Drosophila melanogaster: one gene and its partner. Changing the gene in region 1 together with any one later gene gives a genetic interaction. Each region holds a gene or a part of one and is shown in the gene's direction. Other genes may lie near its edges.

Evidence for each region. Genes that interact genetically often act in the same process or in processes that back each other up.
Region 2: of babo (region 1) and daw, changing one enhances a phenotype caused by changing the other (phenotypic enhancement), as found in Drosophila melanogaster (one study listed by BioGRID).

What each region holds. Positions count from the first base shown.
Region 1 is NT_033778.4:8,950,500-8,955,356, forward strand, and holds the start of babo (baboon), read left to right. Parts: upstream 1-1,839; 5' UTR 1,840-2,472; coding exon 2,473-2,530; intron 2,531-2,603; coding exon 2,604-2,918; intron 2,919-4,234; coding exon 4,235-4,352; intron 4,353-4,459; coding exon 4,460-4,668; intron 4,669-4,857. Other genes in the region: CG33199 (uncharacterized protein), read right to left, coding at 207-257; CG8229 (uncharacterized protein), read right to left, coding at 1-88; Tom7 (translocase of outer membrane 7), read left to right, coding at 1,294-1,393, 1,503-1,567.
Region 2 is NT_033779.5:2,803,737-2,811,300, forward strand, and holds the start of daw (dawdle), read left to right. Parts: upstream 1-1,524; 5' UTR 1,525-1,865; intron 1,866-4,585; exon of another isoform or gene 4,586-4,800; intron 4,801-5,243; 5' UTR 5,244-5,574; coding exon 5,575-6,517; intron 6,518-6,631; coding exon 6,632-6,907; intron 6,908-7,412; coding exon 7,413-7,564.

The sequences.
Region 1 (4,857 bases):
CGAGATTAATGTAAAAGTAGCGCAGCTTGTGATTCCTGCCTTCACTCTGGCACTCCAGACACTCGTCTCCCGGCTGCAGTCGCTGCATTCTCAACGACGATTGTGGTGGTCCTTGGTTTGCCCGGCCGAAAAACTCAGAGGTTTCCCCCAGAATGCGCATGCTGTTTCTGCCGTTTGGCTGCCTGGTTTAATGTGCGTGTGCTCACCTGACCGAAGGTTAAACGGAAAGCGTACAGGCCGAGATTGCTTGTTTTCATGGTCCGTTCCAGTTCCAAATCGAGCAAATCGGGACCTGCAACAGTAGTAGACACGGTATCCGGTTATTCGAGCTTACATAACATCAATTGATTTTTCCCCGACTGCGTGCGCTTTGCTCTTGTTCGCTCATTGCTGGCGTTCTTTATCACTTACGTTTCGTTTGGCAATGGGAACTTTAGTGCTCGGCGCTCTCTGATTAACCGCGATTGCAGGTGCAGCCGATTAAACCAGCAACGTTGCTAAAATTTGGCGAGCAAATGAAAACCAAGAAAACTAAACGATCTAGAACTCATGTGAGTAGCGGGCAAGTGCGAAAGGGACTCGAGATTAGAGATGGGACTTCGAGTGGCTGCGATAGTATCGATCTACGGAGCACTTGCCTGCTGCGAGAGATAGCAGGGGTATTTTTTATTTTTATGCTTCATATTGTTAAGAAATCAACGAAAACTTTGAGCGTTAAAAAGAAGTTTCCTTACTTCAAATTCTTGTTGCATTTCCAACGCTTTCAGAATTTGAAACTTTGGAAATGTAACATCTTTAAAGTTGATGGGAGTACACATGCAAAAATATTGCGGGATCATTAAAAATACGAAAAGGTATTTTTCAGACCAAGCACACTTTTTTCTTTTCATGATATGTGTCCAATAGACAACTTGTCGGTGAAATGGTAGTTAAAAACCTTTATAGTGGAAAATATAAATTAAAGAATATCAGATTAAAACCCAAAGGGCAAAACGGTGTGACCGTTTTAGAAGCGAATTTAAATTTTGCGCTCAAATGTCAATGTTGCCACACCAACAGAAATCTGTATTCGAAATAATTTTACTGATTCTTTAAATTGGTAAATTATTTCAGGCCCAGCAACCTGCGACAAAGCCATCCCAAGAAAATATAAATTGAACGAGTAACCTAACAAAAAGTTTCTGTCAGCTGTTTTATATCGAAAAAAGTGCTGTTTTCCAACACTTCGTTTGCAGTCAGACAAGTTATCATTTCATAATTCGCAAAAGGAGCTAAATTCAATATCCGTACGAAATGAAGCTATCCGAGGGAGTTAAGGATCGTTTGGGATTTGTGGTTGGAGTCGTCCAGACTGGATTCCACTGGGGATTCGTGCCTCTTGTGCTGTATTTGGGTAAGTTGTGGTTCATGTTTTTTGTAATCTACACGCGGCTGGGAAGAAGAAGCAGCGGGGTAATATCAAATGGACCGACATTGATTTTGACCAATTCTCATTTTCGCAGGATTTATGAAGGGAGCTGAGCCTGGCATGCCGCCTCTGAACCTTTTCAGTCTGTTATGGCAGTAAAAATAGTGGACATGATCATTTTGCTGTCGTATGCCCCGCATTTTGGTTCTGGTTGGGTTTCTGGGAACGGGTGCAGTACCTGCAGCTATTGCAAATAAATATCTGTTACAAAACAAATCGAAATTTTTTTATGTATCCTGGAAACAACCAATATTTTAACAAAAATCATTGTCCATAAAAACATAACCGATTGGGCATTTTTACGCACTTCTCTAGCGGGTGGGTGTTTTTCATGGGCAGTCCAGCCTGGGCACACTACTGCAGGTGCGGTCACACTGTTTGCAAATCCACACACACCAGCGCGGTTTTTCGCTGCACAAAATTGTACATTTAAGAAAAAATAGCAGCAATTAATATAAACAAACGGTTGCCCCAGACACCCGAAAGTGCCGGCTGTCCCGCGGAATATGAAATAGTGCCACTTCCCCCGCGCCACTGCCCCAATCACGTGATGAAAATCCGCCTGAAAAGTCGCCCTCGTCCGTGAAATGTAAAGCAGAGCAGAGCAGTTTTTCCAACCAACTTGTGCGGAGTGTGGAGTTCGAGTTTCGCATTGCGGGCCCCCATCGAGATTCGCTAATTGTGAGAATCGCCAGTCTATATTCCCGGCCATGCCCCCGCCAAATGTGGGAATTCGCGGGCGCCTGTCCTACGCGATAAATGCGCAGTTCGGGGCCAATTAGTGGCTGTCTGAGGTGTCCTCCTGCCGCTCCTCCTGCTCCTGCGGCCCCGCCTCGTCCTGCCGCGAAACAACAATCTCATTTGCAGGCCACAGACTTTGAACTTGCGACGCGCGTGTGCGTGCGTGCGATCGTGGAAAACAAAAGAAAAGCTCTCGGGCTGCACAAACAATAACAATAGCTCGGGTCGGGTCGCACACACTATCGTCGGTGCGAATAGCCAACATGTTATCTGCGCTCCGGCTAATCTTCCTGGGCGCTCTGCTCGGCGCCTCTGTTTGCGGTGAGTGTACCCCCCAGCGGTTCCATTAATCTGGATCAGGTGCGAAACTAACCTAAAATCTCCCCCGGTGCAGCCTCCCCCATTGAGTTCGTAATGGACACCAGCCTAAATGGCTCTCGATCTGATCCTGCGACTGCAACCCACCCTGGCAAATGGCCACCGACGACCAAAGCGCCGGCGCTCAGGGCTCCAGCTGGAACAGCTGGACATGCTTATCAGTCGCCATCGTCGTCGCTGGCCGCTGATAACAGAAGCCACGACAACAACAACGCTAGCGCCGTGTCCATGCTGCTGCCGCAAGACGGCGACGCATCTGGAGCTGTGGCCCCTGCTGTTACTCCCCAGCTGCCCATCTACATTGCTCAGCCTAGCGCGAAAAAGCCAGAAAGTAAGTTCCGATTGCCTAACGAGAGTGTAGAGCACACTGCGGACAATGCACCCCGAATTATCTAAACAACAAGAATGTGATAGATTTACAGACTTGTTCCGGTATTGCCTTGCAAACATTTTACTTGACTTCAGTTAACCAGGAAAGTCAGCACAGAGTAAAGGTCATTTTACTTCCCTTTTTTAAGGTGAAATCCATTATTGGGAGAAGATAGAAACCGCTTAGTGGTTATACCTTACTTGTCCGATATATTGACATTTTTGTTGTTGTTGTTTAATAATTAAAATATCTTACCAAGGGTTACTTAATACTTGGCGATCTTTTCGATGCCATAGGGATCTTTTCTCCGTGTGTATATCGCGTGACTGTAACACCTCAAAGACTCTGAACGCTTCTAAAAGGCCGTCTTCGTCTGCGCCTGAGGCTCCGATTCCGTTCCCATATAGTGACGTCACCTCTCCGTGGTGTCAATGAGCTGAGCCAGACAGCTCTCATGGCCCACTCCAACGCTGCCTGGCTGCAGACACCCCCACGTCTGGATGCATTTGCTTGCTGCACTTGGGCACTTGCAACTGCAGTCGGTGCAAAAAAAAGCAGGCCTAAGCACTGGCACTGGCTTCTCGCTGTCCGGGGGAAGGGGAAACTGGTCGCATTGTCTGGCCCTCCACTTTGCACTTGTCTTCTCCGCGTCTGCTTTGTTAATGCTAAATGGTTTTGTTTTTGTTTCATCACGCTCTCGGCGGTGTCGGTGGCGGTAGATGTGGATATGGTAGTGGCTATGGATGTCTATGTGACTGTCTGGGCGAGCGTGTGCCCGGCCAGGTGCCCCGGGGGCATGGTTATGGCAAATCCCAATTTGTGGTCAGGAGATGCCAATCAGCGAGTGGTTGATTTATGGGTCTCTTATTTCTCTAATTAGTTAATTTCTGCCAGCGCCTAATTGATTGATTTGCTTCAATCGGAGTCGGGGCATTTTCTTAATTCGAGAAGTTTGCTACTGCTAACCTATGCTTTTGCGTTTTATTTGTTTAAATAATAAGAAAATCATTAACCGTGGCAAATGAGGCGCGGACCTCTTCCTTTGCTTACCTTTCCACAAGTAATTAATATTCATTAAATATTACAAGAAACACGTGCTTGGTTAGGATCACCTACAAATAGTGAAGATATATCGTTAAGCGAAGAATAAGTTTTTGTTGGTGAGTCGGTTTAAAGTTAACAAATTTTTGGTAGGAATGTATGGATTTGATAGTACTCTAAAGTTTGGTTTTTTGCAAATAGATCTTTATATTAATTTTACCTTTTATGTTCTGCAGACAAGATAAAATGCCACTGTGACACGTGCAAGGAATCGAACAATATATGTGAAACGGACGGCTTTTGTTTCACGTCCGTGGAGAAGAACTCTGATGGGAGCATCATCTTCAGCTACAGGTGAGTGCCGAGAGCCTGAGGAGCAGGCCTTTGATTAGGTTAGCACTTGCCCCTCAGAGCAGCCAGTGTGAATATGTCTGATACGATCGATCTATCGAGCGATGCAGATGTCTGCACAAGTCTCAAATCTTTCCGCCGGGCCGCTCCATCTGGTGTAACGACGGGCTGCACGGCGGACCAACCGCCCGCCCAGTGGGTCGCAATGGCGCCCACGCCTGCTGCAAGGACAGGGACTTCTGCAACCGATTTCTGTGGCCAAAGACGAAGGACCAGAGGAGTGATCGTGTCGAAGAAGGGCGGCAAATCTCCGTCCAAGGTGCGTGCGCTTATGCACGTGTTTCGCTCCCAAAAACCCCTCCTCTCTGACTGCTCCCATTTCTCTGTTCACTCGCACGCCGTTCAACAACCAGTTGCCCAGTTTTGATCGTTCTTTGGACTGTTTCCCCCACTTATGCTCGTTGAGTTGAAGTTTTGAAATGATCATAACCCCAAATGCAGAGCACTA
Region 2 (7,564 bases), on another chromosome or scaffold:
TTATAATCAAATGAAGCGATGAATAGTTCAGAAAATATTAGAATGAATCTTTAGATGTTTAAGGTAACTTTAAGCTTGCAGTTCAAACGTGTAACTAAAGTCATAGTACCCCTATCAAGGGTATAAGCATCATATATTGTTGACTTAATTATGACACCAAAACACTGTTTTAATTAAAAACTGAAATTCCAGAGGCCCGGCCACGATAAGCCGTGCATTGTGACGTGTTTTTCAGCACGCGCGCCACATTTAAAAATTAGACGTTTCGAGTGAGATTTTGCCTCGATCCTGAGTATACAAATCACGAAAGGTATATTGTGCGATTCCATCGCATTATATTTGAGGTGAATGCTTTATTGTGAAATCTCAAGGTAAACAAAACTCGGAACGGACTTAATCAGTCGATTGGCATGAGGTTTGAAAGTGAAACACAGCGATACGCAATCAGAGCCAGCATTTAATTAATATTAGCCATTTACATACTATTGTCCTCCGAGGTAATCTCAAGAGACCCATGCTCGACGGGCGTGAAAACTTCAAAATTATGATATCACACATGGTAATCAATTGAAGCAGCCAGCAAGTTAAAAACAAGAAACCCCAAACGTCGTAAAAGCCACATCGTAAATTGGTCAAGAGGAAAGCGATTAGCTGGCCAAGAGCTAAACAAAAACAGGAAGGCATACGTAGGGTGGAGTCTGAAATTGAGTATACTTAGTTCATTCGTTATATTACATCTAATTGTTCAGTCTTTTACACGACATTGTTTGCATATTCTTCGATGATACATATGTACTTTCTTCTAGCATTCATGGTTATACGTCAATTTTAGTCATACCTCTCGCTAGTACCGCTTATTAATAGACATTGGGCCATCAAAAGAAAGCGATGGTATCGCTTTGGCTGTGAGAACCAATCGCCATTAGGCAATGTCGGCTATCAGGGAAAGTCAAAGGCAATCCGCTGGACTGGACTGCCGCTGAACTTTGGACCGGTTGGATCGAGCGATAAAACCCCACCGGCACGACGTCAGCTCACGTTTTTGGGTGACGAATGCTGGGGCTCGATCCTCATTCCCAACAAGCTCGAACTCACGAACGGCCATCGAACATGTAGCGCCGGCCAGCGAACTTGTTCGATGCTCCAGCCTCGAGCGGCGTGGGTGTTCGATGCAGGAGGCGATCGGATGGGAGCCAACCGGACCTAAAACGCTGCTGTGTGGGCCAGGGGGGAAAGCCACCCATTATCAGTGGCTCTCCCTGCTCTCCCTCTCTCTCTCTCTGTCGCACTTGCTGGAAGCAAAGTAGAATTGCGCATCGCTTAAAACGCAGAGCAGCGGAGTGCGCCAATGATCGGCGGCGTGTCTGTTATCAAACAAACTGAAACTCAACTGTCTGCCGCCCGAAGAGTGGGCCATACCCATACCCATACCCATACCCAGGCCCATACTCACACCCATACCGCTCCCCACAGATACCGTTAGTCGTACCGCTCCAGGCTTTTGTGGCCGCTGCGCCGCCCATCGTCGAATTATTCACACGCAGACGTTCCCAACGATCGGATCGAAAATTATTCAAATCGTGCAAATCGTACATGAAACTTGGTGTGAACGAATAATACTTTATGTTTCTTCAAAACATTTGTTTTTGCTCAGCGAAATATCAGCTCGTCATTTTGAGGAAATCAAGTTCAAGTGGTGAAATTCAAAACAATAATGAGTTTGCGAAAGTGATTTGCGAAAACAAATAAACGGACAATCGATTGTAGAATCACTCAAGGACATTTGATAAGCATCCCTTTTCGCAGAAGATTGCAAACAATGTGCTAAGTTATTCAAGCATTTTGACAATGGATTATTAATTTGGGTGAGTTACATAACACAAGGGCTTATTGTGTAAGAAGTTTAAATAAAAGTGCCAAAAATGTGAATTATGGAATCAGCCTCAACATGGGATACTAGAAATTGTATATTTTTTTTAGCAGTCTAATGCTCAATATCAGTTATTACCAAATCGCAGGGAAGTTTCTAGTTTCGCTTTTGGAATATCATGCCGTAATTAAAAACTAATCATGCAGTGAATGGTTTATCGATCAGAGGCCTATCTATCACCGATTGATTGATTGATAGTTTTCGAGCCTATAACCCAGGCGCATAACCTCCAAAAGCTCTTGGCGAATTTCGGCCACGTCGAGAGTCATTGGCCAAATTTAGTTGCTACCAATGATGATCTTATTTAATCCTGCACTTGATTTATGGTAGCATCGCCGATGAGCGTGTGGCGAGAAAAGTATTATGGCAGATTAATTTGCGACGCTTCGGGCCTCTGGCTTCTGGCAATCGGGGCAATCTCCGTGAGCGGTTCCAAAGTCCAGATCGTGGCATGCTCCCAACCGCTGATCGGCGAGAACGGCGTGATCGCCGTGATTTATTGCCAAAAACCGATGGAAGCAGCCGTGTTTTTGTCGCAGTGCATTCAACTGCTGCGCGCGAAGAAGAAATGCAAGTGATAATTGCCGGCAATTACGATAGCCCCACTCCAAGTCCGAGTCCCAGCCCCACATCCAGTCCCAGCTGCCCCGTAATTAATGCGAAAATGATACGGGCAGGCCCATGGAAAACCCCCAAGCAGAGTCGCTTAGTCAAGAAGCCATCTCCATCAAGCGGCTGTACTTTGCACCTCCAATCGACGCATCGCCAGACCCCCAACTCCCCATTCACAGGCACAGCAGTTTTTTGCTCCGATTTGCATCGACATGGCAACCGCGGAGTCTTCACTACAGCTTTTGCTTCTGATCACGCGCTGGTGGCGTGCTCGATGACGTAGCCATGACTGCCGGGCGTTAAATGACCTTCTTCAACTTCTGTCCCCCTTCCCAGCGGCACCCCTTTTCCGCGGGCCCCCATCACATCGCAGTCGCACGCCTCGGCTTCGATTCCTGCCTTTGATAAGTCGGTCAGTCAAGTCAGTCATTAAGTCCAGTGCAGTGCGGACAGCTCGAGTTACGTCAAAAACGAAGAGTACGTACAAAACGTGTCACATGTCGCGTGTGTGCTACAATCCAAGCCCTGCTTCCTGATCCGATCCCCATCCATTCTATCAGATCCCATCCCATCCGATCTGATCCGTCATTATGTGGCCCCCAGTCGCTTTAATCGACGTCAGGTTGGTTGTGTTGGAAAAAACAAAATGGAGCAGATTTTGGAACGTGGCAATCTACGTAGGTTGTGGAAAAATATGCGATGAGTTGATAAGTGGTGCGACATATGCTGAAGGCCAGGACGTCATTTAAATTGGAAAAGGGCCACTGGAAAAGTGTAATACCTTATGTAACTTATGGGAACACGTAAAACTAAACTTAATTGTGCAAGTCAAAGGTGTCATAATCTAATATGAAATTGGGGAGTATGCAATACTTATAGTTGTTTATTGTATTATTTCCTAACAAGAACCCCTATTAATTTGCTTTTGCTTAAGCCGCACCAACAATGTTGCCAGAATTCGCTGAGGCCTACAAAATTTCTATCAATTAAACGGACCTTCTCCTCCGTATAGTATAGATCATTTCTATTCGTCTCGATGATCTAATTGGGTTCAGAAAAATCACAGTTCGTGACAAGCGAATCGGGCACGTGTTCAGCATTTAAGGCTAAATCGAATAGGCGGTATAATATAACTCGTGATCTGCCGGCCTTCAAAATACTTTTCTTGACCTTACTCGACTGCTTCACATTTAGCCGAGACCAGAAATTCTGGCTGATGAAATTCCCAACCGAAATACTCATGAATTTCCCATTCGCATTTAAATTGGAAAACAGACACACTATGTATTTGAAATGCGCATCTATTAACCGAATCCGATTAGGATTGCCCAGAATCGCATGCTAAGCGTACTTAATTGGTTAAATGCCGCACTACATATTCCATGCTCCCGATTTGTGGACCAAAAGTGGGAAACCGCCCCTTATCAGCAACGTGTTCACTATTAATTGATTGACACACAATCGAGTCGGATCATCAAAGTCAAGCTTGATAACGCTGCGGGGTAATTAGCATGAATGGGCCACTCGACTCGATTCGATTCGATTCGATTCGGTTTGAAGCGATCATAAATTCACTTGATATCAAAATGCCCCATTGTGGCCAAGCGAGTGCCAAAAATGCCAACAGATAGTGACGCCGCCAACTGGGGGCGTGGCATTGTCAGGGTGGCGGGAGGTTAAAAATAAAATTGCAATTAAGAATTTTATGCAATTCGGTGGCTTGGCGTTTTCAAGAAGCTGATGCAATGCTGCACCCCACTTGCATATCCAATTGTCTTCGGCTAAAGAGAGAGCGCCATGTAGCCATAACCATGGTCTATAGTCATAAATCGAGACCCGAACCGCTCGGCTTGGATCCGAGTCCGCAACCGATACGAAACGATCCGTCAGATACGATGCGATTCGAGTGGTTCGGATTGTTTCGGTTCGGTTCGGTTCGGTTCGGCTGGCGCTCGCGGAACGATCAATCAAACGCTCGGCGATCGTCACATAAATTGTTCTACTAATCAGCCAACCGCTTCATTCATTCACAACTCGTTTGCGCTGCCGCATGTCGGAAGAGAAAGAAGCACCATACTATATCATAGACCATACCACAAGTGGAATACTATATAGACGCGCGATCCCAGCTATAGCTAAAGGCCCGTGCCACTCGTGTTTCGTGTCCGGGTTCAAAGTTAATGCCGCAACCCCCGCCGGATTCATCCGGCTGAGCAGATTCAGATCCCATTGGAGCAAATCGGAGTGTGCTCACCACGGTACGTGTGGGGTCCACGTCCACCTAATTGCCATCTAATTGAGCCCGCTTATCAGCGGATCTGCGCAACTACGCTTTCGATTTGAGTCGCACTTGGGGCAAATAGCCCATGTGATAATGTGAAATTGAATACTGAACTAAACTAAATCTTCCCGGAATTAATGTCAAAAAAACGATTTGCACTTTGCCACCTGCCAATTCGAGCTCAACGATATGGAATAAATGATGCAATTTGGTGCAAAAATTAAGCGAGACTTCGGGCTTAGTGAGTGATAGTGATAAATGCACCTGATCCGCTGGCATATTAAATTGCATTTTAATTGGGGCAGCGCGTTCGCAAATATTTATGAGAAAATTTAGGGCATAGCTGTTTTAATTTATTTGATTAATAATCGGAATGTGCTTACAATATTAACTAAGTTACAAATTTCTTCTTATTTGCAGACGAAACTTAACGAAAAGTTTAAAATATTGAACATGCATCATTCAAGCGTATAAGTCGTTGTTATATAAAATCATAAAAAACGCATAAACGTTTTAAAAGTGCTTAAACAAGGCTATAAAACGGCAACAATAAGTGAAACCAGCTGCAATTCTATGAGTTTTGTAAACCTGAAAGCCGGAAAAATTGATGTTTTAATGCTGCCAAACAGATAGCAATCAGCCCCAGCCGACAAAACAAGAGTGAAACCAAAGGCGATCCAGAAGATCATAAGATACATATAAAATATCTCACAGTTAAAAAAAAAGAGAAGTCATAAGTACATATTCAGAAATGGCCAAGTACTTTATAGCCCTGGTGTTGCTGGTGTGTCTGGCCCTGGAGAACAGGAACGTATACAATCGCCTGCACGCCCGCTCCCATCCGAGTTCCCGTGGCGACATCCTTCGTCCGCATCCTAAGCACCAGCCGCATCCCCATGTGCAGCACACCTCGCAACAGCTGCAGCAGCAACACCATATCCGGCAGCAACGATCCCGTCAGCTGAAACACCTGGAACCGGATCCGACCAGCGAGGAGGACGATGTACCGATCACCAAGCGGGAGTACTATGCCCGCCTGAGGCGCCACGTCATCCACAAGAGGCAGCACCTCCTGCAGCAGGAGCTCAGCTACAACCATCCCGGCTCCCATTCGGAGCAGCTAAAGGTGCCCCGCCTGTGGCAACACCTCATGGAGCAGGAGGAGAAGGCACACCGACATGTGAGCCCGCCCGTGGAGTTGCCTATCATGTACGGAGATGCCCCCGAGGAGTCATCCCTCTCCTCCGATGATCACTTTGATGATCTGTCGCCGCTGGACTTTGTGCGCAACGAACTGATGGCCGAGGACCAGCAGAATCAGGAGAAGGATCTCGATCTCGATCTGGACCTAGATCAGCAGCCGGAAACGCCCATAGAGCCAGAGCTCCCATTGGGTGAGAGGAACATCACCATTTCGGTGAAGTCCAGCGCCGGAGGATGCCCCAAGTGCGAGAGCAATCGCCAAGTGGAGCACATCACCGAGGAGCAGCTGACCCACTTACGCATCGAGTTCGTTAAGCAGCAGATCCTGGAGAAGCTGCGCCTCAAGGAGAGCCCCAAGGTGTCGGCCGTGGAGCTGCCCAAGCCCATCTTCGACGGGATGACACTCTCCCATCCGGACGATAGCACCAAGAACAAGGAGCTGGACGATTACTACGCTCGCACTAGCAAGAAGTTCATACTGCTCAATAGAGGTAAGCAAATCTAGATTTAAGCACTAGAAAGTAAAGATTGAAGCTTAACTTCAAAGGGAATCCTTTTACCATTCTGATTTTGCTAACACAACCCTTTATCCTTTATTTTTACAGAGGAGGTCGAGTGCAACCGAGCGAGAGATGGAAAATCCAATCCGTCCATGTGCTTCACCTTCAAGATAGACGACGCAGATGCCGAGGGCTTCGACGTGAGCACCGCCGTCCTGTGGCTCTTCAAGAACAAACAGAACCGCACCGACACGGCATCGGTGAACAGCACCAGTGCCCAGCAGACGATCGTAGTCTCCGAGGTGGAGGTGGATCAGCAGAAGGACTCCAAGTATTTGTCGGCGGCCAAGACCATAGCCATCCAGTCGGTGAATGTGCAAGGTGGGTACACATAGTATACATTAGTATAGCATAAACACTCATCCCCCCAGAGCGTAATCATGCCCAGAAAAGAATCGCACACGTTTGGACCTTTGGTCGGCAGCCGCGGAACGGCCAAAACTGACCCTCAATACCCTCGGGGGACAAATCAAAATATGTGACATGTCTATACTAGATGGGTATTATAAAAATTATAAAGAACGCCGATAAGTGCCAACGTTGACAACCGCTTGTTTGTGTTTTCAATTAGACAGATCATTGCGCAGATTCGTGATAGCACTGCTTGATAGCTCGGCTCGAATCTGAAATTCATGTGGGTGAATAACTTGACAAAGCATTATTCGTGGGTGCAAAAACTGAACTTTGGCCACAACCCAGCACAGTTGTGAGTTCCTGGGGTCAGTTACCAGATAAGAAAGATGGGATCTACGATTCTGGGAGAAGAGAAGATGGCTCTGTGGAACCCCCAACTAACCGCTCTGCCTTTCCTTTCGCATACTTTCAGATGAGTGGATGAAGATCGACATTGAGTGGCCCATCAAACACTGGATCAGTGGCCACGAGCTGAGCCACCTCATCCAAATCACCTGCGGTGGCTGCGATGTCAGCGACATGGAGGAGATCATTTCGGTGGACAAGGATTACCGGCCATTCATC